Linked DNA regions of Anolis sagrei. The protein of the gene in region 2 interacts with the protein of the main gene of each other region in a pairwise test. Links are inferred from orthologs where the notes say so. Each region holds a gene or a part of one and is shown on either strand. Other genes may lie near its edges. The genes, in order: AANAT, BHLHE40, AAMP and COX5B.

The links.
Region 1: the proteins of BHLHE40 (region 2) and AANAT interact in binary tests that used the Homo sapiens proteins (3 or more experiments, as listed by UniProt). The two-hybrid records come from large-scale screens. The link is inferred for Anolis sagrei from reciprocal best matches to the Homo sapiens genes BHLHE40 and AANAT.
Region 3: the proteins of BHLHE40 (region 2) and AAMP interact in a two-hybrid assay, tested with the Homo sapiens proteins (2 studies listed by BioGRID and IntAct). The link is inferred for Anolis sagrei from reciprocal best matches to the Homo sapiens genes BHLHE40 and AAMP.
Region 4: the proteins of BHLHE40 (region 2) and COX5B interact in binary tests that used the Homo sapiens proteins (3 or more experiments, as listed by UniProt). The two-hybrid records come from large-scale screens. The link is inferred for Anolis sagrei from reciprocal best matches to the Homo sapiens genes BHLHE40 and COX5B.

The regions. Positions count from the first base shown.
Region 1 is NC_090022.1:119,356,814-119,364,736, forward strand, and holds the start of AANAT (serotonin N-acetyltransferase), read left to right. Parts: upstream 1-4,923; 5' UTR 4,924-5,213; intron 5,214-5,857; exon of another isoform or gene 5,858-6,804; intron 6,805-7,923. Other genes in the region: UBE2O ((E3-independent) E2 ubiquitin-conjugating enzyme), read right to left, coding at 4,288-4,701. UniProt on the Homo sapiens protein: Controls the night/day rhythm of melatonin production in the pineal gland. Catalyzes the N-acetylation of serotonin into N-acetylserotonin, the penultimate step in the synthesis of melatonin.
Region 2 is NC_090022.1:46,308,551-46,315,534, reverse strand, and holds the start of BHLHE40 (class E basic helix-loop-helix protein 40), read right to left. Parts: upstream 3,023-6,984; 5' UTR 2,609-3,022; coding exon 2,517-2,608; intron 2,012-2,516; coding exon 1,942-2,011; intron 564-1,941; coding exon 456-563; intron 1-455. UniProt on the Homo sapiens protein: Transcriptional repressor involved in the regulation of the circadian rhythm by negatively regulating the activity of the clock genes and clock-controlled genes.
Region 3 is NC_090021.1:228,680,103-228,687,260, reverse strand, and holds the start of AAMP (angio-associated migratory cell protein), read left to right. Parts: upstream 1-4,142; 5' UTR 4,143-4,243; coding exon 4,244-4,370; intron 4,371-6,315; coding exon 6,316-6,453; intron 6,454-7,158. UniProt on the Homo sapiens protein: Plays a role in angiogenesis and cell migration. In smooth muscle cell migration, may act through the RhoA pathway.
Region 4 is NC_090027.1:24,180,268-24,187,523, forward strand, and holds the start of COX5B (cytochrome c oxidase subunit 5B, mitochondrial), read left to right. Parts: upstream 1-4,245; 5' UTR 4,246-4,325; coding exon 4,326-4,443; intron 4,444-7,256. UniProt on the Homo sapiens protein: Component of the cytochrome c oxidase, the last enzyme in the mitochondrial electron transport chain which drives oxidative phosphorylation.

The DNA.
Region 1 (7,923 bases), about 73 Mb from region 2:
TGCCTATGAAATAGATGGTTTATACTTTTATTTACTCCTGTCTAAAGAAAGTTAAGAGCTATCACACTGTAGTAATTTGAGTGTTGAACTAGGACTCTGCAGACCAAGGTTAAAATCTCCATTAGGACACAGAAATCTACTGAGTGACCTTGGGTAAGTCATAGCCTCTCAAATCAAATCAAATCATTTATTTCGGTCATTGACCAGCACAGGAAATAGTCACATTTTCATACAAACTTGGTATGTTTGGTACATTAAAAATATAAATATAACTACTGAAGCACAATATGGGTGAGGGAGCTGAAGGGAAGGGGAAACAGGGTAAAAAGATACAATGCCCAGACAGAGTACAAAATTTGCATACCCTCTCAACTTCAGAGGAAGACAAAGACAAATGTCAGGTGAACAAATCTTGACAAGAAAATGCAATGATATGGAAATCCTAAGGTGAGCCAAACTTGGAAATAGTTTGAAGGCACACAACAACCAAAAAGACTTGAAAGCACACTATAATTAGGTTTACTGTTTTCCCCAAGTGACATCTTACAATTTTAGCCTCACTATGAAACCAAAAAGCCTGAGTAAAAATAAGACCCTTGGGAATAATTTAGAATTTATACAGACCAAGCTTTGTCACAGAAAGCCTATATCCAAAATTTTAAATATTCTCAGAATCTATGTGAAAAATTATGAATATCTATCTTTTTAGGGGGTTCCAGGGCTTTTTTTAATATTGTCATTGCTGATTTCTTTGCTATGAACTTAATGGATTTAATCACAGCCAGAAAAGAAGTGTCTGGTCATAGTGAATGCATCGCATTATTCTCAAAGAAATACACATGATTTCAAGGCCAAGGACTGCTAATAAGAATATGAGTAGTACATACTTTCACTTATCACAGCATATCCATGCCACTCCTTCTCAAGATACACACAATGCATCGGTCCTCTCATATTACATCTGGGCCCACCCCTCACTCTCTTTTGTTCTACATATTTGGAGTAAGTCATTCTTCTCCATAACATTTGAAAACCTAACATAGAGTTCACAGAATATTAGTATCACTCTCAATATTTCAAATGAGATGCAAGTTAGCTATTTGACATGTACACTGTTATTTTTTAAGCAATTCATGTCAACTTGTGTCTCATGATATAAATACGCCCTTCAGTTTTTAATTATGCATAATTATATAACATCAATTATGCATACTGGAGCAAAGACAATGTTTTCCCTCCTACCCAAACAGTAACCTTTTTTTTTTTTTTGCTCCAACCAACAGTATTTAACCATTAATACCTTCATTTTAGAAGGCTTGCTACATTTGCTTCTCCTACACTACCAACCACTTACTACTATAGTGGCAACTAACAACAAACTCCCCCTATGCCATAATATAGTTCACTTCCAAGAATATTAATATTCTCAATTAATACATTGAGGCATCACAAGTATTTATAGTTATCCAAACATTTGCTAAAAATAATGGTCTCCAGTGATGTTTTTTCCCTCTTAAATAAGTTCCATCCCCATCCATATCTGAAACCATGCAGTAAAAAAATATGAACTTCTGCAGAACAGCAATACCAATCAGCAGATGTCACTGCAGAAGAGTCTGAGAGACCACGTCCAAACTCCTGACTACCTGAACAACCCGCAAAACACAGATTGCAGGGAAGGCCTGGAGCATTCAGGATGCTGAATAGAAGCATGTTGCCTAACAACATATTTTTTAAAATGGTGAAAGAAGTCTTCTAGAATATTATGGTGGGAGAAGGGGGAGCACAGAATGTAACCTATTTGGGGGACAGGGAGAGAGAGAGAGAGAGAAAAAAAATATGATTTTCTTTCCAAAATAGAAAACTGTACAACCTGTACAATGCAATGTGGACAATGTAAGGCAGCTTTTTCAGAGCACACTGGCCTGAGATAATACAGTATTTATAATATCAATCAATAGTAGCATTCTTGAAGGAATGTATGTATGCATATATGCATGTGTGAGCTATACACGTGAGTGTATATACAGTATATATATGTACACATGTGTGCTTATCTATGTATGCATACGTATGTTTGAGTGCATGTATGTAAATATATAAATGTGCATACAAAGAGTGGGCCAAAACTCACAAAGGCATCTAATGTTTCAATAATTCTTTGAAATTTTTGTTTGAAAAGATTTTATATATAATGTAATTCAATTTCATTTCCTATATATTCTATATATGCTTTTGTGAACATTGTAAATTAAAAACAAAGCACAAAGGAATTATTAAATATTGAAACCCCTTTGTGACTTTTGGCACACTCAGTATATGTGTGGGTGTGTATATATCTGTATGTAAGAGAGAAAGTATATATCTTTAGCAATATTTATTTGTGTGAGAGTATGTATATATATGTGTGTGGGTGTGTGTATAGGGTACGTATGAGGGGATGGATGTGTATCTATATATGTGCAAATGTATATATGTTTTTGTGTATATATGTGTATGTGTGTGAGAGAGAACCTATGTGTGTATATGTATATCTATATCAATGTGTGTGAGATTGTGTGCATAATAATAGTAATACATTTTATTCATTATCTGCCTTCCCTGATGGCTCAAGGAGGGGTACAACTAATTAAAAAACAAACAAACAAACATAAAAATACATGGCCTTGGACCATTATTTCTGGATTATGTGATTTTACCATTTATATTAATATGTTTTAATTCTATGTTTTAATGTTTAAATGTTGTTAGGTTTGTATGATCTAATTGATAGTTATATTATTCTCGCTTTATGTTAGGTTTCATATGTATGCGAGGCATTATGTTTTGTCAGAAATATGTTGGAAACCGGGTTGCTATAAGTTTTCCGGGCTGTATGGCCATGTTCCAGAAGCATTCTCTCCTGACATTTCACCCATATCTATGGCAGGCATCCTCAGAGGTTGAGAGGTCACAACCTCTGAGGATGCGTGCCATAGATGTGGGTGAAATGTCAGAAGAGAATGTTTCTGGAACATGGCCATATAGCCCGAAAAACTCACAGCAACCCAGTGATTCCGGCCACGCAAGCTTTCAACAACACATGTTGGAAACAGCTTTGAGCACACACACCCCCGAGTGAGAAAAGCGGAATACAAGTGAAGTAAATAAAAATACAATAAATTACTAAATTGCATTGCCAAGCACAGACATTTGAAAACTTATACCAAACACTGCTACAAAATTGACATATATTTATTTTGCATATTTGTATCCTGCCCTTCTCACCCCGGAGGGAGGCTCAGGGCGGCTTGACAACTTTTTTTTTTTTGCATTATTTCTATCCCGCTCATATCAGCCTGGAGGCGACTCAGAGCGGCGTACACAATCGGCACAATTCGATGCCATAAAAATACATACATTGATAAACAAAAGAACCATTATAGTGCAATTAGACATAAGCCAGTGCATAATAACAATATTAAAAGCTATAAACTATATCCTCTCATTCAAGTCCTTATCAGTTCCATCGTCTTGGGCCGTTCCAGAGTCATTTTCCAATTCAAGTTTGTCAACAGGTATTCATTCAATGCCAACAACAGTAATAAACAATAAAAGCAATTAGAACATAAAATTACTCAAACATTGTTTAAATCACACAGGTTTGAAATTGTAGTCCAGGTCAGTCCATTGTCATTCACATAAATTGTGTCTCATTCTCAATTGCTGCCTCTACTACTGTTCGAATGCTGGGTAGAGAGTTCCACAGGCGAGGGGCCACCACTGAGGAGACCCCATCGCTCACCCACCTCCGCCAGTCGTGGCAATAGAGTGCAAATCAAAACACATGATAGCAAGTTGACTGGGTAGGCCTGCCAGAAGGGATGGGTGTTGAGTTTGTTTAGCTGTTGGAGCTCTTCCGCAGGTCATTCCACAGTCGTAACTGTGTGTGTATATATCTGTATATATATATCTGTATGTGTGTGTGTGTGTGTGTGTATATATATATATATATATATATATATATATATATATCTGTATATATGTGTGAGGAATACACACACACAGAGGGAGAGCATGTCCCCGTCCTTTCTCCTCGCTCTCCCTCCTTGCCACCGCCCTCTTTCCTCGCCAACTTTCCTTTAAGACCCCCGACCCTCCCTCAGGTTCCTCAGGGCGGCCCTTCCTCTTCCTCCTCCCCTGCCGCAGCCCCCACCAGGCCCACGCCCACAGAGGGCCTGCTGCTGCTGCTGCTCCTGCCTCGGCATCTCCTTTCCCCCGCTCCTTGCCCACTCGGGAGGGGCCTACCTTGGTCTCCTTGACGTGCTGCTTGATGCCCTCGGGGTACCACTGGACGCGCACGTAGCCGCGGCGGAGGGGGCTCCCGCGGCCTTCTTCCCCTCCTCCTCCTCCTCCGGGGCCCCCGGACTCCGAGCCCGCCGAGCTGCCCCCTCCTCCTCCTCCTCCTGCTGTTGCTGGGCCTCGTCCTCCTCCCCCTCCGCCCCCTCCTCCTCCTCCTCCCCCGCCGTCGTCTTCCTCAGAGTCGGAGTCCTCGCCGTGCATGACGCGGACCAGGCCGAAGCGCACCGAGCCCCTGTACTTGCCGGAGACCAAGTCATGGGTGAAGAGGAGGCGCTGCGAGCCGCCGCCGGGTGCTGCTGTTGCTATTGATGGCGGCGTTGGAGATGGCGGCGTCCCGGTGGTCGGTGGCGGCTCCGCCATGGCTGAGGGGGGAGGAAGGAAGGAAGGAGGCGGGCGGAGGGAGGGAGGGAGAGAAGCAGCAGCAGCGACGGCGGCCGCCTGGCTCACTCTCGCTCACTCGCTTGCTCGCTTTCCCGGCGCGCGCAGGCGCAGTCCGCGTTCGGTAGGGGGCGGGGCTCCAAGATGGCGACGCCTCGCGTCAAATAGCAAAGCGAGGAGGGGGCGGGGCCAAGAGCAGCCTGAGGAGGGAGGGAGGGAGAAGGGGAGAGGGACGGGCCTACATCTTCCTCTCTGAAGGGGATGGAGGTGGATGGAGGGAAGGCCTCGGCGCCTGAGAAGAGAGGGAAGGCAGCTTTCACAACCGAAGAGGGCTGTGGCACACAGCACAGAAAACAGGGAGAATCGCGAGCGTGTCTCTGTGAGGAGGAGGAGGGCTCCAGAAGGTGCTCACAGGCCTTTGATGCCTCAAGTAGAGCATCATAAGATGGCGCCCCTTCCCACCCTACGAGGCAAAGCAGAGGCGGAGCTGACAGGTGCTCCCCTTCCCTAGTCTTGGCGCATCCACAAGACAGAATCCATGCAGTTTGTCTGTAACTGCCATGGCAGAATGCTCTGGGATCCTGGGAGCTGGAGTTTTACAAGGCCTTTGGCGTTCTTTTAAAGCAGTGGGTCCCAACCTGTGGGTCCCCAAGTGTTTTGCTCCACAACTCCCAGAAATCCCAGCCAGTTTACCAACTGATAGGATTTCTGGGGGTTGAAGACCAAAACATCTGGAGACCCACAGGTTGAGAACCACTGCTCTAAAGAGTGGTGGTGCCTCGGCAAGCTCCAAATTCTAGGATTTCATGGCATTGAGCCGTGATGGTTCAAATGGTGGGGAACTGCCTTCATCTCCAGCAGGCATGGGCAAACTCCCCCTCCCCCCCCCCCCCTCAGGTGTTTTGGGACTTCAACTTCCACAATTCCTAACAGTCTCAGCCCCCCTTCCTTTTCCCTTTATTTTATTTATTTACGACATAAATAAAATATCTCTGAGTCTCCTCCTCACCCCGAAGGGGACTTAGAGCGGCTTACAAGATATGCATACAATATATTATATTATTAGCATAGTACAATATCAGTATTAAATATTACTATATTATACATGTAATATTAGTAATATTACATGTAATAGAAATATATAATTATATTATTATATTGCATTACATTATTATAAATATTATATGTATATACACAATATATTATATTATATGATTAGAATAGCACAGGAGAAAAGGTGGAACTGTGTTCTGCCCCCCTCCCCTTCACTGTAGCCCAGAGCGGCAGTTGGTGCTGTGGGGAGGGGTCCCCAGCTGATGACATATGCAGGAGACAAGATGGAACTGTCCCCCTCTCTCTTTACTCTGGCCCAGAGCAGCAGTTGGTGCTGGGGGAAGGGGTCCCCAATTGATGGCATTAAGCTTTTCTGCTTAAGCGGCTGAGAGAGAAAAGGAAAAGGCCTGAGGCTCTTAGGAATTGTAAGAGTTGAGGTCCAAAACACCTGGAGGGCCAAAGTTTGCCCATGCCTGCTACAGATGAAGGCAGTTCCAAACCACTGGAACCATCACTGCTCAATGCCATGAAATCCCAGGATTTGGAGCTTGCCGAGGCACCACCACTCTTTAGCAGAGAACGCCAAAGGCCTTCTACAGTGTAGTAGAGGGACCTTTGGGGGTGGGTCTCTACCTCCTTCCCTTTTTGTCCTCCTTTCCCCAGTGTCTGCCCCCAAAGGCCCCTACCTGGCTTTGTTCCCTGTTAGGGGCAGGAAGTAATTTGAAGTTGGCTGTCCATGAGTGTCTTGCTGAAGATGGAGGGAGTGGCTCTCAAAATGGGAAGGCGGACAAGGAGTGAAATGGAAAGCAAACGAACAAAGATAAAATGGGAAAAAGAGGATTTCAAATTAAGCCATCTGTTGTGCATTTGCCCCCTTTGTCTCATTCTGGGTCTGTATTGTAGCTTAGGCCCAGAGAAAGAATCATGGGGAAAGAGAGCCAGTGTGGGGCAGCGATTTGAGCATAGAGTGAAGACCGGGAGACCAGGGTTCAAATACCCACTTGGCTGTGGAAACCCACTGAGTGACCTGGGGTAAGTCACACTCTCTCAGAGGAAGACAAAGGTGCCCCCTCCTCCGAACAAGTCATGCCCCAAAAGTTTGTGATAGGTTCACTTTAGAGTTGGTATACTTCAGAAATGACTGAAGACACACAACAGCAAAGATGCAGGAGGAGAAGGAGGGAAAGTCTTGGTGGGGGGAGTAGAAAATTTGAGCCAAAGCATAAACACAATGATTAAATTGATGGCTGCAAGAGTGTGGATATGAGGAATTGAAGGCATGGGAGAGAAACATTGTCTGAAGAGCAAAATCGAATACACTCAATTTCAAAGGTTGCTTTGAAATTTGAAAGTAAGGAGGAGAGAGGTGTTTTCTTTACCTAATAAAAATAATCAGGGTATAATTTTGGTACTATTATTGTGATGTTGAAAACCCTTAAAGTCTGGTATGGGAATAATTTGAGTGCACTACTCTCAATTAACTCCTTTGGACATCCATCACTGCTAGCTTAGATGTAAAGCAAATTGAGGGAGTCTAATTGTGACATGGAAATTCAGAAGCTGGGAAGGCAATGGGAGTTTCTGGAGCTAATGTCTCATGCTCACAAGAGTCTAATGGTCATCCTAGTGCAAGAGGTCCTGATATAAAAGCCCAATTAAGTAGAAGCTGTGGGGAGTGAAGCTTTGTTTCTGTATAGAGAAAAAAATGAGATAGTATTAATGTTATAAATGTAGAGGCAGTATAGTGATTTTATTGAGAGTTTAGCATTAATTTCTTAATTGTACAAAAAATCTCGCCCCAGGTCTTATTCATTATCTTCAATGTGTTTAGCAATCAAGGCTGGCAGTGTAATTTTGTACAATATATTGTGCAAGTATTTTAACAGAATAATTTAAATATGAGGCTTTAACAGCCATTCTTAAGATTTATTCCCAGTGCAATTGTTGCATCCTTCCATGGACATGAATATAGTATAAATGGATAGCTGCAACTAAGGGAAACATAAAAATAATTTCTTAAGATCTGATTAATCTTACAGTTATAAAAGATAACCCACATACCCAAGTTATAGAAGGGTATCCACGTGCTCTACATTGAAATCTCTATGTTGTTCCTAGGAACAAGTGTGGAGATTCATATTACTAAGGTGC
Region 2 (6,984 bases):
GCCCTGATTGTTTCTTGTCTGAAATTCCCCTGTTTTTGAGTGTTATTCTTTATTTACTGTCCTGATTTTAGAGTTTTGCAGTGTTGGTAGCCAGATTGCATTAATTTTACACTGCAAATGAATCTTTTGTTAACTTAAAAGTTTGCCACCAGGAAAACAGGGAAGAAAAACCAAAATGCACTCTCCCTAACAAATCATTTGACTTATCCTGTTGCATCTTCAAATCCAATCCGATCCAGAGGTTCATGAACTTAGCAACAAAACCAAGTCCTATCAGGAAGCTCAAGGAAGCAATCCAACCCGAGACAAGACAACTCTCTCTCCCCGTTCACACCTGCACTGCTTCAGGAAACCTCTAGATGGCAACTTTACCTGCACAAAAAGCCCTGCAAAGCCAACCCAATGCCCAACGCAGAAGGAAGAAGTCTCTGGGCAGTGGCCAGATTTTCACTTACTGTAAGTTTGAGATGTTCTGGTAACAGATCTTTCAGCTGGGCAATGCATTCATTAATCCGATCTCGTCTTTTCTTTTCAATCAGCCGGTGGGGTAACTTGTAGGTCTCCTAAAAATCAACAGGTACCAAAAAATTATACAACCATTTCATCAGTTGAGAGGAAAAGTGATTTCTGAGCATAGTATTATCTGTCCAAATAGATTGGAAAAAATTATAAACATTTTCTTAGATCATTTTTTTTTGTTTTTTAAAAAACAGCATTACCAAACCCAAAGTTTATTGCAGATGATGTATTTTGATCATCTCCAGAAAATTATCTGATGCAACTATGAAGTGAGTTTCCTGGGCTGTATGGCCATGTTCCAGAAGCATTCTCTCCTGACATTTTGCCCACATCTATGGCAGGAATTTTCAGAGGTTGAGAAATCTATTGAAAACTAAGAAAGTCAGGTTTATATCTGTGGAATAACGTCCAGGGTGGGAGAAAGAATTCTTGTCGTTTGAGGCAAGTGTGAATGTTGCAATTGGCCACCTTGATTAGCACTGAAAAGCCTTGTAGCTTCAAAGCCTGGCTGATTGCTGCCTGGGGATCAACACTCAAAAACAGGGGAATTCCAGACAAGAATCAATCAGGGGCAATTAATCACCTCCCAACAAAGGATTCCCCCAGGTAGGAAGCAGCCAAGCTTTGAAGCTGCAAGGCTATTCAATGCTAATCAGGGTGATCAATTGCAACATGCCTCATCTTGCCTCAAACAGACAAGAGTTCTTTCTCCTACCCTGGATGCTATTCCAGAGATATAAAAACCTTGCTTACCTTGTCTTTGACAAACCACACAACATCTGAGGATGCCTGCCATAGATGTGGGTGAAATGTCAGGAGAGAATGCTCCTGGAAAATAGCCATACAGCCCGGAAAACTTACAGCAACTCAGTGATTCCGGCCATGAAAGCCTTCGACAACATATGAAGATATTGTTTTGCTGCATGATAAGGCAAATCCATGAGCATAATAACATTTTTGGAAAAATGAATACCCTCCACCCCACAAATAGAGTCTCCAAAAACAAATTTTGAGGGGCCATTGAAAATGAATGCTCTTTTGTATATGTTTGGGAAGACCATTACTTAATCTCAGAACGAAACTGGGTCAAAATTGAGTTGCTGTTGAGTTTTCTGGGCTGCATGGCTGTGTTCCAGAATCATTCTCTCCTGATGTTTTTCCCACATCTATGGCAGCCTTCCTCAAAGGTTGAGGGGTCTCAACCTCTGAGGATGACTGCCATAGATGCAGGCGAAATGTCGGGAGAGAATGCTTCTGGAACATGGCCATATAGCCTGGAAAACTCTCAACAATTCAATGATTCCAGCTGTGAAATCCTTCAACAACACATTGGGTGAAAACTATTCACTGAGGACGCTAAGAAAATACTAGTCAGTAAATAATAAATAAATAAGAAAAATGCTACGAATGTTCTGTATTTACCTTGCTGTCTTCGCCTCTTTTTAACCCTCTCCTGGGTTTATAAACTTGGTACATGTGAGCAAAGTCCAACCTGTTGATGAGCCAAAAGGAGAAAGATGTAAATGACTTGCAAGAATAATCCAGGAAGGTAGTCAATCCTCCCCATCCCTCTCCAAAACCTACAGAAGTAGCATCTACACTGCGGAATGAATGCAGTTCAAATGAATGCAGTTCAACGCCACTTGGCTCAGTGCTCGGGAATAAAGGGGGCTGGAGTTGTACTGCCACCTCCATAGCATTGAGACCTGGGCAGGTCAAAGTGGTGATAAACTGCATTAACTCTAAAGCGTAGACACAGTAGAGTGAGAAGAAAGAGGGCTAAGCTATAGAAAAGTTTGGAGAGAAGGAAAACAAGGGAGAGGAAATTGAGAGGTGTACTGCTTGTCCCAGGTGCAGAAAGTGAGAGCAGAGGTAGCCAAGGGAAGCACCATCCCAACCCAAGAGGAACCTGGTTGGAAAGCGATTTCAATCCCACACAGATAGATAGATAGATAGATAGATAGATAGATAGATAGATAGATAGATAGAGAGCTTACCCTGGCATCTCGTTGCCCTCCAACGTGGCCAGCTTGCCCAAGCAAGGCGGTGCTGGAGGAGGAGGAGGTTGGGCGCTGGGGATCCTTTCCATGGCCAACTGGGTGGCTTCTCCTTCCTCTTCTTAAGGTTGCCTCTCCTTCCTTCCTATCCTTCTCCCTCCGGTGAGCTGTTTTCCTCTAAGGATGGAGCCGAAGTCTCCAAGATCCCGCTTTGGGTCTCTCTCTCTCTGAGTCGGCTTTCCTTTTTTTCCTAACAGGACTTTCTCCTCTGGTGGTTCTCCTCTCTCTCTCTCTCTCTGGGTCAAAAGGAGAGGCGAGTTCTGTCTGTGCTTCAGGTGGGAGAGCCTTTGCGGCGCGTCTCTGCAGCGCCTCTTTCTCCTCCTTCGGTGCGGACGGAGGACAGAGCGATCCGATCCGCCCTGTGACTGACTTCAGGCACGTCTGGCCGCGGCTGCTTCTGAAGCCGGAGAGGGAGGGAGGAGAGGAGAGGAGAGGAGGAGGAGGAGCGGGCCTGCCTCTTCTCCCTTCCTCTGCCCCCCCCCCGTCCCTCCCCGCCTCCCTCCTCGCCTCCCTCCTCATCACATGAGCCTCACGTGTCGGACAACGCTCCGGCCTCCCTCCCTCCCTCCGCTGTGGCCAGGAGCTTCCCTGCCGCCGCCTCTGCAAACGTGACCCAGGGCTGCCCTGGGAGGGCCCCGGAGGAGGAGGAGGAGGAGGAGGAGGAAGGCCTGGCCCCACTGCAACTGCTCCGCTTATCCCATCGCATGAAGAAAGCCCTGGCCAAACTCCAGGGAGGACCCTCGACTTGGAAGACATCCTCCCCCCCCCCCAAGGGCCATCCAGTCTGACCCCTTGGCATGCAAGGAAAGCACATTCAAGGCGCCTCCCACAAAGGACCACCCAGCCCAACTTCCTGACACACAGCGAAAGGGACTGTCTAAGCACTCCCGACAGATGGGCATCCACTACAACCTTCTGACATGCAGGAAAGGCACAATCCAAGCACTCCCGGCAGATGGTCATAAAGTTCAACCCCCTAACAGACAGGGAAAGCACAATCAAAGTACTCCCGGCAGATAGACATCCAGTCTAACCTCCCAACATGCAGGGAAAGCACAATCAAAGCACTCCCGGTGGATGGCCATAAAGTTCAACCCCCTGACACGCAGGGAAGACACAATCGAAGCACCCTCGTCAGATAGCCATCCAGTCTAACCTCCTGACATGCAAGGAAAGCACAATCAAAGCACTCTCTACAGATGGACATCCAGTCTAACCTCCCAACGTGCAGGGAAAGCACAAAAACACTCCCGGTGGATGGCCATTAAGTTCAACCTCCTGACATGCGGGGAAGGCACAATCAAAGCACACCCGGCAGATAGCCATCCGGTCTAACCCCCTGACATGCAGGGAACTCTCTGCCCCGGAGTGGTGTGGTGGAGGCTCCTTCTTTGGAAGGTTTTAAACAGAGGCTGGATGGCCATGTGTCAGGGGTGCTTTGAATGCAATATTCCTGCTTCTTGGCAGGGGGTTGGCCTGGATGGCCCATGAGGTCTCTTCCACAATCAAAGAACTCCCTGAAGATGGACATCTAGTCTAACATCCTGACACGCAGGGAAAGCACAATCAAAGTACTCCCGGCGGATGGCCATAACGTTCAACCCCCTGACACGCAGGGAAAGCACCACTGACAGATGGACATCCAGCCCAAGCCTTTGACATGCAAGGAAAGCAGAATCATAGAATCATAGAGTTGGAAGAGACCTCATGGGCCACCCGGTCCAAACCTCTACCGAGAAACAGGAAAATCGCATTCAAAGCACTCCCTGCAGATGGCCATCCAGCCTTTGCTTGAAAACCTCCAGAGAAGGCGACTCCTAGGCAGTGTAGTTCTTCCTAAAGTTCGTCCTAACGTTTACACGGAATCTCCTTTCCTGCCATTGGAATCCATTCCTCCAAGGTGTCCTAGTCTCCCCAATGTGGCACCCTTTCACTGATTCCAAGGTGGCTGTCATGTCCCCTTCCCTCAGCCTTTTCTCCTGCAAGCTACACACCCCCAGCTCCCTAAACTACTCCTCATTGGGCTTGGCTTTCGGACCCTTGCTCATTGTGGTCACCCTTCCCTGCCAACATCCTGAAGTGCCCAGAAATGGACACAGTCTTATTCCAGGTGAGGTTTTTTTCGTGTCAGGAAACTGCAAGTCGCTTCTGGTGTGAGAGTATTGGCCGTCTTCAAGGACGTTGCCCAGGAAACGCCCGGATGTTTTTGATGTTTTACCATCCTTGTGGAAGGCTTCTCTCATGTCCCCACATGGGGAGCTGGATCTGACAGAGGGAGCTCATCCGGGCTCTCCCCAGATTCGAACCCCCGACCTGTCGGTCTTAAGTCCTGCTGGCACAAGGGTTTAACCCACTGCGCCACCGGGGGCTTTGTGACCAATAGGGTGGGGTTATGGCTTCCCTGGATCTTGACACTGGACTCCTCTTGAGGCAGCCTAGAATGGCATTGGCTTTTGGGTTTCTAGTGTGGGGAGGAGGCACCAGCCCTTTCAGGCAAAGACAGATCCCAGGCTTCCATAGGGTACAGCGGTGGCACTTAAAGTAGGCTCAACCTGCCTTCCCTGCCTGGAGCTCTCCAAAGGGGGACTTCCGACCAGGAGCGGCTTCGGAGTAAAGCCAACGCGTTGGAGTTCCGGAGAAGCAGCCGCGGCACCCTCGCTCCATCACGCAGCCACGCATGCGCACAGGCGTTGTCACTGGAGAGGGGATTTCAGGAGAATGCCTCCCAGCTGCTTCTCTTACTTGTACGCAAGGCTATGCTGTGCCCTGCTTGCAAAAAAGAGTAGCAGGCATGCAGTCATTTGTTTTCCCTCAATGCTAAGACTCGATGGATGTGTCTAATGTAATACAATATAATACTACTACTAATAAATATATAATATAATTATAATTACATGTAATATAAAATATATAATATAATTATATATTTTTATATTACATGTAATATCTTCTATCTTTTCTATATAAATAAAAATGGAATGTTCGTTTGTGGGATTAACAGAATTCAAAAACTTCTGGACGAATTGACATCAAAATTGGACACAAGACACCTAATAACTCAATGTATGTCCTTCACTAAAAAAAATGATTTTGTCATTTGGAAGTTGTAGTTGCTGGGATTTATAGTTCACCGATAATCAAATAGCATTCTGAACCCCACAGGCCCGTAGCCAGGATTTCATTTCGGAGGGGGCTAAATTTTTTCAGGGGGGGGTTCGGGGGGGCGAGTTTCGGGGGGGGGGGCTGAGTCTGAGTGAAAGAGGGTCTAGCCTAGCAAACCTTTTGTATCATTACCCCAATACCCCCATGCATATGGGATATATTTATTTATTTTATTTATTTATTTAGTACACTTGTATACCGCTAATATCTCAGCCTAGAACGGCGACTCATTGCGGTTTACAACAATAAAACAATATTCCGAATAAAAAAATATAAAAACACATATATATACAATACACAGTATTGGGCCACCAATACAGACCAATGCATCTCTTAAATTAAAATCATAATCCAAATTCGTTGTCTGTAATTGCCAGTCCTTAGTCAAAACTTCATCGCATCGGATTAGCCAAATGCTTGCTCAAACATCCATGTTTTCAGTTTTTTTCGAAATACCATCAGCGAGGAGGCTGATTTTATCTCTATAGGGAGGGCATTCCAAAGCCGCGGGGCCACCACAGAAAAGGCCCTGTCTCTCGTACCCGCCAGCCGCACCTGTGAAGCAGGCGGGATGGAGAGAAGGGCCTCTCCCGAAGATCTTAGGGTCCTGGTGGGCTGATAGGCCGAGATACATTCGGATAGGTATGTTGGGCCAGAACCGTTTAGGGCTTTAAAGGCCAATGCCAGCACTTTGAATTGGGCCCGGTAGCTAATCGGCAGCCAGTGGAGCTGGTACAGCAGAGGAGTTGTATGCTCCTTGCGCCCTGCTCCTGTTAGTACCATGGCTGCCGCCCGTTGGACTAGTTGGAGCTTCCGAGCCGTCTTCAAAGGCAACCCCACGTAGAGAGCGTTGCAGTAGTCAAGGCGGGATGTAACCAGAGCGTGGACTACCGTGGCCAAGTCAGACTTCCCAAGGTACGGTCGCAGTTGGCGCACGAGTCTTAGCTGTGCGAATGCTCCCCTGGTCACCGCCGAAACCTGGGGATCCAGGCTCAGCGATGAATCCAGGATCACACCCAAACTGCGAACCTGTGTCTTCAGGGGGAGTGCGACCCCGTCTAACACAGGCTGTAGCCCTATACCCTGTTCGGCCCTGCGACTGACCAGGAGTACCTCTGTCTTGTATTGAGTATATATTGAGTATGGTGATCAGATCATGATATGAATAAATAACAGTTTAAATAATGCACCAGTAAGGCCTTTTTCGCGAACCACCATGAGAATTTGGGGGGGGGGGGGGCTGAAG
Region 3 (7,158 bases), on a different chromosome or scaffold from region 2:
CAGCAAACACAGATTTTATTTAAAGCCCAGATCACAAGATCCTATTTCTTCCCAGGGTCGTGTTATTTTCTTGGTTTTGAGCATAGCCCGTGTATGGAGAAGTTTCATGGCCCAATAACAGGAAATAATTTTAATATAACTATAATTTCCATTGGCTCTTGGTAGTGTGGCTAATGCTAGCAGATGGTAGGAGACACCGTCTAAAACTGGAGAGTCACACAGTTCCTACTCCCTTCCCGTCTTTCTCTCAGACAGGTTTTCCCAACATTCTATGCTACGAATAATTACAAGGCTAGGAACACTGAAGTGTTAATAAAGCAAACAGAAAATGCAATGCTCACCAAGCAATAGCAACTGGCTTCATAGGGTTCTTGGCTTTCTTTGGGGGAATATATTCCACATCTTCATAGACCTGTCTACCAGGCTGTGGCTTTGTCTGCACTTCTTTCCACACCCTGTGGCTTTTGTTGATGGATCTGGCTGGTGTTTTGAAAGGCAGAATAAAGCCTGCAGCTCGATTCACAGTGGCAGAAACAAGGCCTGCAAGGGGACAAGCTACTTGCATGAGATTGTACTTCTGCTAAAAGTTTCAACAAGATCCTCTATCAGTGCTGCCTCCAGACTCAACAGCGGATCTGAATTTGTGCATTGTGTCAGTAAGCGGAGGAACTAAAATTACAAACACCTAAAATGTGCTTGACAGGCTCATCTTATGTATGTTTACCTCACAAGGTTCTGTGAGACTTATTCCCAAGAAAGTATGCACAACAGTACAAAATTAGGCTGTCCTGAGAGCTAACTAATTTAACATTTTGCATCTGTACACATAATGCAAAATATCCTTCTAAGGTGCCTTATAATTTATTGTAAAATACCTGTGGCATTCTCAATCTTTGGAAGAAATTAAAATATATTTTAATGTAGTGGCCAATGGACATGATTGTTAAATGTTCTAAGAAATTTTATAGCAGAGATTTTTGATGGGCAAAATTCTCTTCAGGACAAACATATTGCAACATACCACACCCTGCTTTACATTTTGCTATTGGGGCTTGCGCTGTGCCATGTTTGACTGTCGGAGTATGACTTTGGGGACCAGGGTTTGAATCATTGCTTGGCCAAGGGTGATGTTGGGCAAGTCTCACTCTCTCAGCCTCTGAACAAACCTTGCCAAATGTTGGGATTTGGAGAGCTCTCTTGCAAAGATACCTCAATATTATATGAAAACAGAAATCCCAATTCAGGTGAGATCAAAGTACAGTGTCAATAAAGTCTCTTGACCATTTGCTTTGCTGTTAAATGGTAAATTGGCTTTATGGACACCCTGTACAATAATTGTGTACTAAGGGACCAAAGACAAGGAAACACTATCTTCCTCTGCTTCTGTTTATATCTTAGGAATGACCTCTCACAGTGCATCGAGTAATAATAATAATAATAATACTTTATTTATATTCCATCTTATCTCCCCTGGGGGACTTAGGGTGAATTCCAACAAACAAAAAGTCAAACGTTCAATGCCTCAATAACAGTAAATACAAATATAAAAACCCACGATAACCCCACATAAAGAGCAACTTAAGTATAACAACTATAGTTTAAATAAAATGTAATCAATTGAAAATTATAACTAACATAGAATTTAAACATAACACATCCAAATTAATATATCAGTACAACATGAAGGTTTACAAATGTGTGCATAGATTTTATGGCCAAAGTTGTTAAATGGGCTAATGTGATCTTACAAGGCCCGAGTGCATTTATACTATCTAATCAGCAGTCTCTTCATCTAATCTTCCTCCTCTCCATACGCTTGTGAGAAAGATAGGTTTTCAGCTGTTTTTTTTTTTTGATAGAGAGAAGGGAGGGATCCAGCTTTATTTCTTTAGGGACTTCCAGAGGAGGGGCGATCACGGAGAACACTCTCTCATTCCCACCAGCCATGTTTGAGATGGGGGTTGGGACCAAGAACAGAGCGTCCTCCGATGACTGCAGTGCCCGCGTTAGTTTGTAGGTGGAGATGCGATTAGTTAAATAGCTTGGACCCAAGTCATTAAAGGTAATAACTAGCACTTTTTATTTAGCCCGGAAGCAGACCAGCAGCCAGTGGAGCTGCCGTAGCATGGGAGTGGATCTTTCCCTGTACAGGCCTCCAGTTAGTAATCTGGCTGCAAACTTTGAACCAGTTGAAGCTTCCAAACTATCCTCAGAGGCCACCCCATGTAGAGTGTTGCAGTAGTCTACGCGGGATGTGACTAAGGCGTGGATTACCATGGCCAAGTCTGGTGTCTCTAGGTGCAGCTGGCACCAAGTTTTAAGTTGTGCAAAGGGGCTCCTAGCCACTGCCGACACCTGAGGTCACAGGAACAGCGATGAGTCCAAGATCAGCCCCAGACTGTGGACCTATGTCTTCAGGGGAGTGTGATCCCATCCAACACAGGCTGTTGGATGGGGTCAGCCATAAATATCATTGGATGACGGCTGCTGTCTCCGTATAACTAACCTCACAAAACTGCTATATAGTGAAAAGGAGGTTTCAAAAAACTATTCATGCACCATCATTCTCTCAACTTCGGGAAGTGATTGGTGGTAGAGAACCTTGGACTTCCAAATGTCTTTCAACCATCTTCAGCATGATGGGCACTAGAGTCCAAACACACTTCTACAAATCCTTTCCTCTAGTCGTGCTATTACTAAATAAATACTGCTGAAGGTAAAGCATCCCTTATCTGAAATGCTAGGGAACAGATTGTGCTGGATTTGAGACCCAAATCCAAACCTAAAATCAATTTGTTTCATTGACAACCAACCTGAAGGCAAATCTATGCACTATTTTTTTTAATGTTGTGCATGAAACGAAGTTTGCGCACATTGAGCGGCCCTAAAGGAAAGGTGTCACTTCCTCAACCACTTATGTGGACCATTTTGGATTATGGAGCATTTCGTAATTCTTGAGGAAGGATTCACAAACCACGGTGTCCATTTTCTCCCCTGAGAGCCTCCCTCCCATTCTCTTTCTCCTCCCTCCTCACACGCCAGCCCAAAATCCACTCCAGAAACAGCCTCAGACTCCCTCCCTACCCTGCACGCGAAGACAAACAGCCGCCATCTTGGGGGACGCTCTCTAGGCCCTTCCTGATGCATGCTGGGTAAGACCGAGAGCCATAGGCAGCAGCAGAGGAACTTGAGACTACAACTCCCTTGACGCCCTTCGGCCTCCCTGCACGGAATTGGAAAGTAGCCAATCAGAAGGGCCTATTGATTAATTGGTATTTCCCCTCCCCCCTTTTTAACCCTCTTCATTGATTGGTGTAGGGATGTTAGCTCCTCCCTCTACCTCAAGGTGAAGAGCAAAGCGCTTCGAGGAAATAAGGCCTGGCTCGGAATGTGAAAGTAGCCAATCAGGAGGATCGTACCAATGAGTTAGGGGATTGTCCCCATTTATTCCCTTCATTGATTGGTGGAAGGATTTTGGCTCCTCCTCCTCCTCCCTCATGGTGACAGGCAACGCAGAGAGCAAAGCGGCTCCTTGGAAATGGGGCCTGGTTTGGAATGTGAAAACAGCCAATCAGATGGACCGTAATGATTAGTTGGTATTCCCGCCTCCCTTTTACCCTCTTCGTTGATTGGTGGAGGGATGTTAGCTCCTCCCTCTACCTCACGGTAGAAAGCAACGCACTACGAGGAAACGGGGATTGGCTAGGAAGGTGAAAGTAGCCAATCAGGAGGATCGTACCAATGAGTTAGGGGTTTGTCCCCATTTTTTCCCTTCGTTGATTGGTGGAGAAATTTGGCTCCTTCCCCTCCCTCAAGATGACAGATAACGCAGAGAACAAATCGGCTCCTAAGAAATAGGGCCCGGTTTGGAATGTGAAGGCGACCAATCAGGAGGGCCGTACTAATGACTTAGGGGAAGGTCTCCCTTTTTTTATTCTCTTCATTGATTGGTGGAGATATTTTGGCTCCTCCCATTCCCATTCGTGACAGGCCACGCAGAGAGCAAAGCGGTGCCTAGGAAATGAGGCCTGGTTTGGAATGTGAAAGCAGCCAATCAGGACGGCCGTACTGATGAGTTAGGCGTTTGTTCCCATTTATTCCCTTCGTTGATTGGCGGAAGGGCTTTGGCTCCTCCTCCTCCTCATGCCTCTCGAGGGAGGGGCGGGCGGAAGAGGAGAGCGGCTGGCGAGATCAGGGCCAGGTGCCGCGTGTGGCGTGTTGTGGAGTCCAGCAGGCAGGCGGCATGGCGGACCCTGGCGGCGGGGAAGGGCCAGAGCCGGCCCCGGAGGGGTCAGGGGCCCTCCTGCTCGTGTCAGGCGGCGGCGCGGAAGAGATCGTGGAAGTGGTGGACCTGGAGCCGCCGGGGCCCGGTAAGAAGGGCCCAGAGCCTCTGAGGCTGAGAGAGTGTGGCTTGCTCCACGTCTGAGCAGGGATTCCACCCTTGGCCTCCTAGAGTCTGAGTACCCAGGCATGGGCAAACTTCGGCCCTCCAGGTGATTTGGACTTCAGCTCCCACAATTCCTAAGTTTGCCCATGCTTGGAGTAGGGAAACTTAATATTCTAAGGGGTTGTGGCATTAGGAAGGCTGAGAAACACGGATCTAGAGCTTCAGAGAGCTTCTGTTCAACCATTTCCAAGCTCCCTGCTAGAGCGGTGATGACATGATCGTCAGCATAGATGAAACTCTTTGGCACTTCTGGCAGTGGCTGATCATTTGCAGGGATCACCACAACATGAGGAGCTGTATGAAGGGGTCACGACATTAGGAAGGTTGAGAAACACAGACCTAGAGCTTTGGAGAGCTTCTGTTCAACCATTTCCAAGCTCCCTGCTAGAGCGGTGATGGCATGATCGTTAGCATAGGTGAAACTCTTTGGCACTTCTGGCAGTGGCTGATCATTTGCAGGGGTCACCACAACATGAAGAGCTGTATTAAGGGGTCACGACATTAGGAAGGTTGAGAAGCACTGGTCTAGATTCTCTTCTGACAAGCCCTGGAAGGGAGGACAAGGGGGTGATTTCTATTTTGCTCTCTTAGATGTGCTGCTTTCCAGGAAGCAAGGAATGGAAACATTTATCTGTCCATCTGTGATCCTTGTTCCTTTACAGATGGGAGGGGTCTCGATGTAGATTGATTGTCAGTATAAGCAAGACAGGAATCCTTGCTGTCATATCTAAAAGATAAGGGAGATTGAAAACAAGAAGGGGAGGCCCTGCTCTCGGTCTGCCTCCTTTTCAGGCATGACTGGTGGGAACGAGAGACAGGGCCTTCTCAGTGGCGGCTCCTCAACTATGGAACTCCCTCCCCAGTGAAATCAGATCAGCCCCTTCTCTCCTGACCTTCAGGAAAACAACTTAAAAGACATGGTGTTGGTACCAAGTTTTGACAAATAATTGGAGCAGTGCAATAAATGACTATGAAACAATGTGATTGACAAATGGAACGGCCCTGGATTATGCTTTGGTTGGCATGATTTTAATTGTTGTTTCAATAATCCCATGTTTTAATTATTTGGTTTTAATTGTAATTATTGATTTTATATTTGTGTGTACGGCATCAAATTGCTGCCTGTTGTTAGGCTGCCTTGAGTCCCCTTCTGGGGTGAGAAAGGCAGGATATAAATATAAATATGGTAAATACATTAAATAAATAAATTAAGAAGAAGAGCTAGGTGCTTGTTTTTGTTAGGGCCAAAACCTTTGGATCTCATGTCATTTGGGGCAGGGTGGGGGTGGGGGCACTGAATATTAGGAGTTCCTATATCTAAATCTTGTGTAGGATGATAATAATAGTAATAAGAATAATAAGAGATCAGCCCTCTCCCTCCTAGCCTTCAGAAGAAAAGTAAAAACTTGGCTGTGGGATCAGGCTTTTGGAGAATAGTGCTGTGCAATAACAGATTTGGAATATGTGCAGTGACCATGGAATGGCTTGGAATACGATTATGGATGTCATGATTTTAATATGGAATGTCATGTTTTAAAATATCTAATATGTATTAATAACTTATTTTTAATCCTTAATTTTAATTTTGGAATTGTATGTGTTTATGGCATTGAATAATTGCCTTGAGTTCCCTTCAGGGTAGAGAAAAGCCAGGTATAAATAGAGTAAATAAATAATACGTTTGCAGGTATGAATTCTTGACCCCTGGTTTCGGACTGATGTGGACTTTTGAGTGGTATCCTCCTCTTTCCTAAAACTTAGTGTATGCATGTTTGGGGTGGTGGGTGGGGTTTCTCACATTGCAGTGAGAAGAACTTGACACTGAGTTGTTTCAAAAATCTATGTCCCTCTTCTCTACTTTTTGGCAGATGATCTGGCTGATGAGATGGAAGATGTGGACCTCGACGAAGAGCAGGGCGCTTGGGTGACTGAGGAGGAAGATGAGGGAGTGGAGGAGGGCATGGAGGCCCAAGATGACAGTGAGGTCACCTTCTCAAAACATACTGGTGAGCTAGTAGGGGAGCCAGAGCAGATTTCCTACTTCATTAGCTGCTCTCTCTGGATCTTTCTTTTCCATCCTAAGTGAAAACTGCAGGTGACTCTATGTTGTGTTTAGTTGGAAGGCAGGAGTGCAGTTGGGGGTCAGAGCACCTCCTAAAGCACTGAAATAAGTTGTGTGACCTAGCTGCCGCTGTGGTTGATATTTGTTGCAGTTAGACACACTCTGCCATCCCCCCACATTTGGCTGATATGTAAGGGAGTTCCATGTATGTTCAAAAACTATATTTCCTTGATTCATGTGGGATCACTTGGGCAACTCCTTTAACATTGAAACTACAAGCAAGGACTGTGTCACCTGACAATATAGCTTACTCTCTCTTTTCTGCCTTCTTTTTGCTGCACCTCCCTGCCCTATGTTTACTGTATTGTGTTCCTGGATTGAAAGCTGCTGGGACCATTTTTGATTCTGGCTTTAAGTTCCCAAGGCGGTGTCTTGAGATAACAAGATATGGGGGTGATCCCAGGGTATTTCATTAGTTATTATGATCTCTTTGTTTTACTGTATGTTGGCAATGATTTTTTGCCAATAGTATGTTGTAAACCACCGTGAGTCTCCCCAGAGGTGAGAAAGGCTTTGCATTAATACAGTAAATAAATAAATATTTCAGGCCATTTTAGTTCCTCTTGTTTGGATGCTCCTCATACAATCT
Region 4 (7,256 bases), on a different chromosome or scaffold from region 2:
ATTTGCCAGTTATCAATGGTTGCCATCATCTTGGTTTTCTTGATATTTAACCGAAACCGAACTTTTGCAGTTTCTTCTTTCACTTTGGTTAGAAGGCTCTTTGGCTCCTTTTTGCTTTCGGCCATCAAAGTGGTGTCATCTGCATATCTAAGATTGTTAATGTTTCTTCCAGCAATTTTCACCCCAGCCTTGCATTTGTCAAGCCCGCATATCGCATGATGTGTTCTGCATACAAGTTGAATAGGTTGGGTGAGAGTATACAACCCTGCTGTATGCCTTCCCCAATCTTGAACCAGTCTGGTGTTCCATGGTCAGTTCTTACTGTTGCTACTTGGTCCTCATACAGATTCCTCAGGAGATGTGATTTGGTATGCCCAGACCACCAAGAGGGAAATACATTCAGACAAATAAGCTGGGCACCACCACCAGGAGTGATATTTGGCCATTGCTCTTCTCCCAAGAAGGAAGCGTCTCCTGATTTCCTGGCTGCAGACGGCACTTGCAGTTATCTTCGTGCCTAGAAATACAGTCTGTCACTGACTCCACATTTTCTCCCTCTATATGCCAGTTATCAATCACTCTGGTTGCCATTATATTGGTTTTCTTGATATTTAACTGAAACCAAGCTTTTGCAGTTTCTTCTTTTACTTTGGTTAGAAGGCTCCTTGGCTCCTTCTCGCGTTCAGCCATCAAAGTACTATCATCTGCATATCTAAAGTTGTTAATATTTCATCCAGCAAATTTTAACTCCAGCCTTGGATTCGTCAAGCCCTGCACGTCGCATGATGTGTTCTGCATACAGGTTGAATAGGTCGGGTGAGAGTATACAGCCCTGCCGTACTGCTTTCCCAATTGTGAACCAGGAGATATTTCACTCCCATTCATTAAACAAGAGGAGCCATTTCCGGGGCTTCTTCTCTTTCTGTTTCTGCCCCCTTCAAAGCAGAACTTCTTAATGAAAAGTTTGTGCCTGGTGACCATATCTATTGAAAAATGTAAATCAGTGGTTCCCAAACTTATTTGGCCTACCCCTCTGGAAATCAATTTTTTGAAATATTTTCTTCTTTCTTTTATGCTTTCACCGCCCCCTTACAATTATTCATCGCCCCCAAATGCACCTGTGGCCATTACCGCCCCCCTGGGTCACTGCAGCACCCACCAGGTGAAAAATGACAGGAACTTGAGGGGGGTTTGGGAGGAGGGGCTTTGTTGCATTTGCAGACAGAGGCCATCTTAACATTTGGCTCATTCGTTGAGAGAGCTATGAAGGCCTTGGGGATGAAAATTCAGGATAAATTGCAGGATTCCCTTGTAGGAATGAATTTGGGTGGGAGTTAGGCCTGATGAAGCCCACTTTTGAGGGAAATCTGGTTGACTGAAGCATACTGACACCAATAAGATAGAAAGGAGGAGTCAGAAACTCATCAGCTGCTCATCCAGACAAAAAGGAAAGCAGTCTCCCTTCTTCAACTTGGAGGAAGTCCTTACCTGGCTGCTCCAACGGCTCTCTAACTCCCACCTGTTTTGAAAATCAACAAAAAGAATGCATTCCTAAAGCAGCCAATCAGAAGCAGGGCACTAAAGCTGGCGACAGGGTGAGCCAATCAGTAACAAGATTCCCCCCTTATGCAAATACAATACATTTCCAGTTTTGAATATTGATGGACTGGATTTTCAAAATGTTCTCTCGATCCTCCAGTTCAGATCTATGGTTGGCTTCCAGCAAAAGTTGACAGTAAGGTCATGCTGGATGAATCGGAAAAGCCCCATCTACACTGCCCTATAATCCAGTTTATGAATCCAGGTTATCTGCTTTGAACTGGACGATACGGAAGTGTAGATCAAGGCTAAGTCTTCCAGTGCAATTCTATGGCCAGCTCCCAGAAGACATCCACTATAAACAATATACAGTATATTTAAAATGCTTTACTTTCATTGCAAGTTTCCTCAGCTCTATAATGAACTAAAGAGGACTTTTCTCCCGAAAAACACTATAGATTTATATTATCTATGCTACACCACTCTCTCTCTCTCTTTATATATATATATATATGTGTGTGTGTGTGTGTGTGTGTATTGTATATACTTAAGTATAAGCCTAGTTTTTCAGCCCTCTTTTTAGGCTGAAAAAGCTCCCCATGGCTTATACTCGAGTCAAGGTTATTTATTCTTTTACTCTTTTATTAGTATTATTTTTAAAACCCTATACCAGATATATCCTACCTTGTTCATGCCCAGCGTTTATTTTTTTAATTTTTAAACTATTACATTTTAAACTATTACATTCCTTTTTGTCCGGATCAGCAGCTGGTTTTTAAATCCTTGTGTGTTACTGTGTATTGGTTATTGTTTATATGTGATTAATATTAATTGTATTGTATTTATTGTTTTTGTTTATTGCATTTTGTTTTTATTGATGTGTTGTTGAGCTTGGCCTCATGTAAGCCGCTCTGAGTCCCTTGGGGAGATGGTGGCGGGGTATAAAGTTTTTATAATAATAATAATAATAATAATAATAATGGCAGTGACATCTCCAGCCCATCCCCTGTTTGGGTATCAGCCAGCATGTCAACAACAGAAACAGAAGAACGGCCTGCCTCAGGGGAGCGTGCTTGCTCCATCCATGTTCAACATCTACACAAATGACCAGCCACTGCCAGATGGGACACAGAGTTTCATCTATGCTGATGATCGTGCCATTACCACTCAAGCAGGGTGCTTTGAGATGGTTGAAAAGAAGCTCTCCAAAGCTCTAGGTGCTCTTACTGCCTATTACAGGGAAAACCAACTGATCCCTAATCCATCTAAAACACAGACATGCCCCTTTCACCTTAAGAACAGACAAGCATCCCGAGCTCTGAAGATCACCTGGGAAGGAATCCCACTGGAGCATTACAACACACCCAAATATCTGGGAGTCACTTTGGACCGTGCTCTGACCTACAAGAAGCACTGCCTGAACATCAAGCAAAAAGTGGGCGCTAGAAACATCATATGAAAGCTGACTGGCACAACCTGGGGATCACAACCAGACACAGTGAAGACATCTGCCCTTGCGCTATGCTACTCTGCTGCTGAGTATGCATGCCCAATGTGGAACACATCTCACCACGCTAAAACAGTGGATGTGGCTCTTAATGAGACATGCCACATTATCACAGGGTGTCTGCGCCCTACACCTCTGGAGAAATTACATTGCTTAGCCGGTATTGCACCACCTGACATCCGCCGGGAAGTAGCAGCCAATAGTGAAAGGACCAAGGTAGTGACATCTCCAGCTCATCCCCTGTTTGGGTATCAGCCAGCACGTCAACGACTTAAATCAAGAAATAGTTTTCTTAGATCTACAGAGACACTCGCTGGAACACCTCAGCAAGCGAGAGTCCAAAATGGGCAGGCTCCAACCCATCACTTCAATCCGTGGTTGATACCAGATGAGAGACTCCCTCCTGAGCACACAGAAGACTGGGCAACTTGGAAGGCGCTGAACAGACTGCGCTCTGGCACCACGAGATGCAGAGCCAACCTTAAGAAATGGGGCTACAAAGTGGAATCCACGACATGCGAGTGTGGAGAAGAGCAAACTACAGACCACCTGCTGCAATGCAACCTGAGCCCTGCCACATGCACAATGGAGGACCTTCTTGCGGCAACACCAGAGGCACTCCAAGTGGCCAGATACTGGTCAAAGGACATTTAATCAACTACCAAGCTTGCAAAATCTGTGGTTTTTGTTTTGTGTTTGTTTTGTTCTGTTAGGAATGTAATCCAATGGTCTAGTTGCTGATAAATAAATTATTATTATTATCATGATTATTATTATTATGATATTCTAGGAGCTCTAAAAGGGCCAGAGTTGCCTGAAGTTTATATTCTCATTCCAGGGAAGCCATACATGAAGTTCCTTTTCCCCTCAGCCTATAAGAATCCTATAAGAAGAGTGACAAAACATAGCCCAGGCCTAGCTTGTTCTCCAGACCCTTGATCATTTTAGTTGCCCTCTTCTGGACACATTCCAGCTTGTCAATATCTCTCTCCTTCCAACCAGGTAAATTCCTTCCCTTCCTCTCCACTCCACTCCAAAATGGCGCCTCCCTACTGACTGGAAAGAAAGGAAACTTCACTCCCAGGCCACGCCCACGAGGCAACGTGTCCAATGGGTGTGCAGCTTCGGCGGTTACGGCCACGCCCATTGAGCGGCGCGTCGGAGGGGTTGCTGTTGGACAACGGTTGGTTAAAACGGCGCCTGCGTGGGAGGAAGTCCCTCCCCCGGAAAGCGGAAACAGGCCTGTGGACAAGGCCTATTATAGCTCCTCGCGTTCCCCATGGCGTCAAGGTTACTCAGGGTCTGCGGCCTTTTCCAAGGGCTCGCCGCGGGCCGGAATGCCCTCCCTCTAGGGCCGCTGCGCCTGGCCGGAGCCTCTCGCTGCATGGGAGCCGGAGGTGAGGCTGGGTTAGGGCATTTTCACACAGACTTTGGCCAACTTGGGCCTTCCCTCCAGGTATTTTGAGCTTCAACCCCCGCAATCCCTAACAGCTCAGGCCCCTTCCTTTTCCCTCCTTTGCACTATTTGAAGCTTCTGAACCGTCTTAGAATCAAAGAGTTGGAAGAAACCTCATGGGCCATCCAGTCCAATCTCATTCTGCCAAGAAGCAGAAATATTGCATTCAAATCACCCCTGACAGATGGCCATCCAGCCTCTGTTTAGAAGCTTCCAAAGAAGGAGCCTCCACCACACTCCGGGGCAGAGAGTTCCACTGCTGAACGGCTCTCACAGTCAGGAAGTTCTTCCTCATGTTCAGATGGAATCTCCATTCTTGTAGTTTGAAGCCATTGTTTTGCGTCCTAGTCTCTAAGGAAGCAGAAAACAAGCTTGCTCCCTCCTCCCTGTGGCTTCCTCTCACATATTTATACATGGCTATCATGTCTCCTCTCAGCCTTCTCTTCTTCAGGCTACACATGCCCAGCTCCTTAAGCCGCTCCTCATAGGGCTTGTTCTCCAGACCCTTGATCATTTTAGTCGCCCTCCTCTGGACACATTCCAGCTTGTCAATATCTCTCTTCAATTGTGGTGCCCAGAATTGGACACAATATTCCAGGTGTGGTCTAACCAAGGCGGAATAGAGGGGGAGCATTACTTCCCTAGATCTAGATACTATGCTCCTATTGATGCAGGCCAAAATCCCATTGGCTTTTTTTGCCGCCACATCACATTGTTGGCTCATGTTTAACTTGTTGTCCAATATAAACGGAGCCCCCAGTGGTCTTTTTCACACGTACTGCTCTTAGGCAGCCCCACATAGAGTGCATTGCAGTAATCAATTCGAGATGTAACTAAGGCCTGGACCACCGTGGCCAAGTATGGCTTCACGAGGGTTTTTTTTGTTTGTTTGTTTTGTTGTGTCAGGAGTGACTTGAGAAACTGCAAGTCGCTTCTGGTGTGAGAGAATTGGCCGTCTGCAAGGACGTTGCCCAGGGGACGCCCGGATGATTTGATGTTTTTATCATCCTTGTGGGAGGCTTCTCTCATGTCCCTACATGAGGAGCTGGAGCTGATAGAGGGAGCTCATCCGCCTCTCCCCGGATTTGAACCTGCGACCTGTCGGTCTTCAATCCTGCCAGCACAGGTGTTTAACCCATTTCACCACCAGGGGCTCCATGGCTTCCCGAGGTACAGTTGATATACAAGCTTTTATTGTACACTGAGGTTTTTTTCAGTGATTTTACAAGTGATGGTCACTTGTTAGCCTGATACGTGTACTGTGCCCAAATTTGGTGTCAGTTGGTCCAGTGATTTTTGAGTTATGTTAATCCCACAAATGAACATTACATTTTTAATTATATAGATACTAGCTGTCCCCTGCCACGCGTTGCTGTGGCCCAGGCTGTTGATCTGGAAAATAAAGTAATTAGAAAGTGTTGGTTTCTAATATATGTAATTTCTTTATGCTTGTGGGTAAACAGTATTTCTTGCTGTTTCTTTGTCAGTGTTGATTTGGAGATTGTCTGGTTTGCCTGCTCTGGAACATGCAACATATCATTGTCCTTTTTAGGGGTCCTTTTCAAATCTATGGTACTATATCTCTCTCTATGTGAATCATATATATCTATCTATACCTATGGCTGGATGCCTCTTTGTCAGAAGGGCTTTGATTATGTTTTCTTGTCCTGATGAAGGGAGTTGGACTGGATGGCCTTAAGTATGAGGGTTCTGTGTGGGAAGTTTGCCCCAATTCTGTCGTTGGTAGGGTTCAGCGTGCGCTTTGATTGTACGTGAACTATAAATCCCAGTAACTACAACTCCCAAATGTCAAGGTCTATTTTCCTCAAACTCCATCTGTGTTCATATTTGGGCATATGGAATATTTGCGCCAAGTTTGGTCCATATCCATCATTGTATGAGTCCACAGTGCTCTCTGGATGTAGGTGAACTACAACTCCCAAACTCAAGGTCAATGCCCACCAAACCCTTCTAGTGTTTTCTGTTGGTCATGGGAGTTCTGTGTGCCACATTTGGTTCAATTCCATCATTGGTGGAGTTCAGAATGCTCTTTGATTGTAAATAAAGTACGTATAACACCCAGCGACTACAACTCCCAAATGACAAGATCAATTTTTGAGTTATGTTAATCCCACAAACGAACATTACATTTTTATTTATATAGATAGGCCCTCCTTGCATTCCAAAAAAAATTCTTAAGCCTTTGAGCAATACATATAGTGATTCGAATGTGACTGATGAGACTGGTAATGGACTGATCTTGGATCACGATTTTAAACTCAAGATATTTTAGAATTTTAAATCTTGGATGTTTATAATTGTTTTAATTGTTTTTTAATTAATTTCTTAATTTAATGTCCGGCATCTAGTGGTGGCCTATTGTAAACCACCCTGAGTCCACCCCTCGGGGGTGAAAAGGACGGAGTATAAATACATGAAATAAATACATGTGGGCTAGCCAAAACTATGGCTAGGTGGATCTGTAATTGGTTAAGTGAATGAACCCAGTGGGTGATTCTTCCCAGCGCTTCTTCTTCATTCTGGAAAGAAATGACGAGTGGCGTATCGCAGGTTTCCATCATGGACCTGGTTTTGTTCAACATCTTTATTAATGGCTTAGATCAGTGGTTCTCAATCTGTGGGTCCCCAAGTGTTTTGGCCTACAACTCCCAGAAATCCCAGCCAGTTTACCACCTGGGGATCCACAGGTTGAGAACCACTGACTTAGATTAGGGGTTAGAAAGCATGATCATC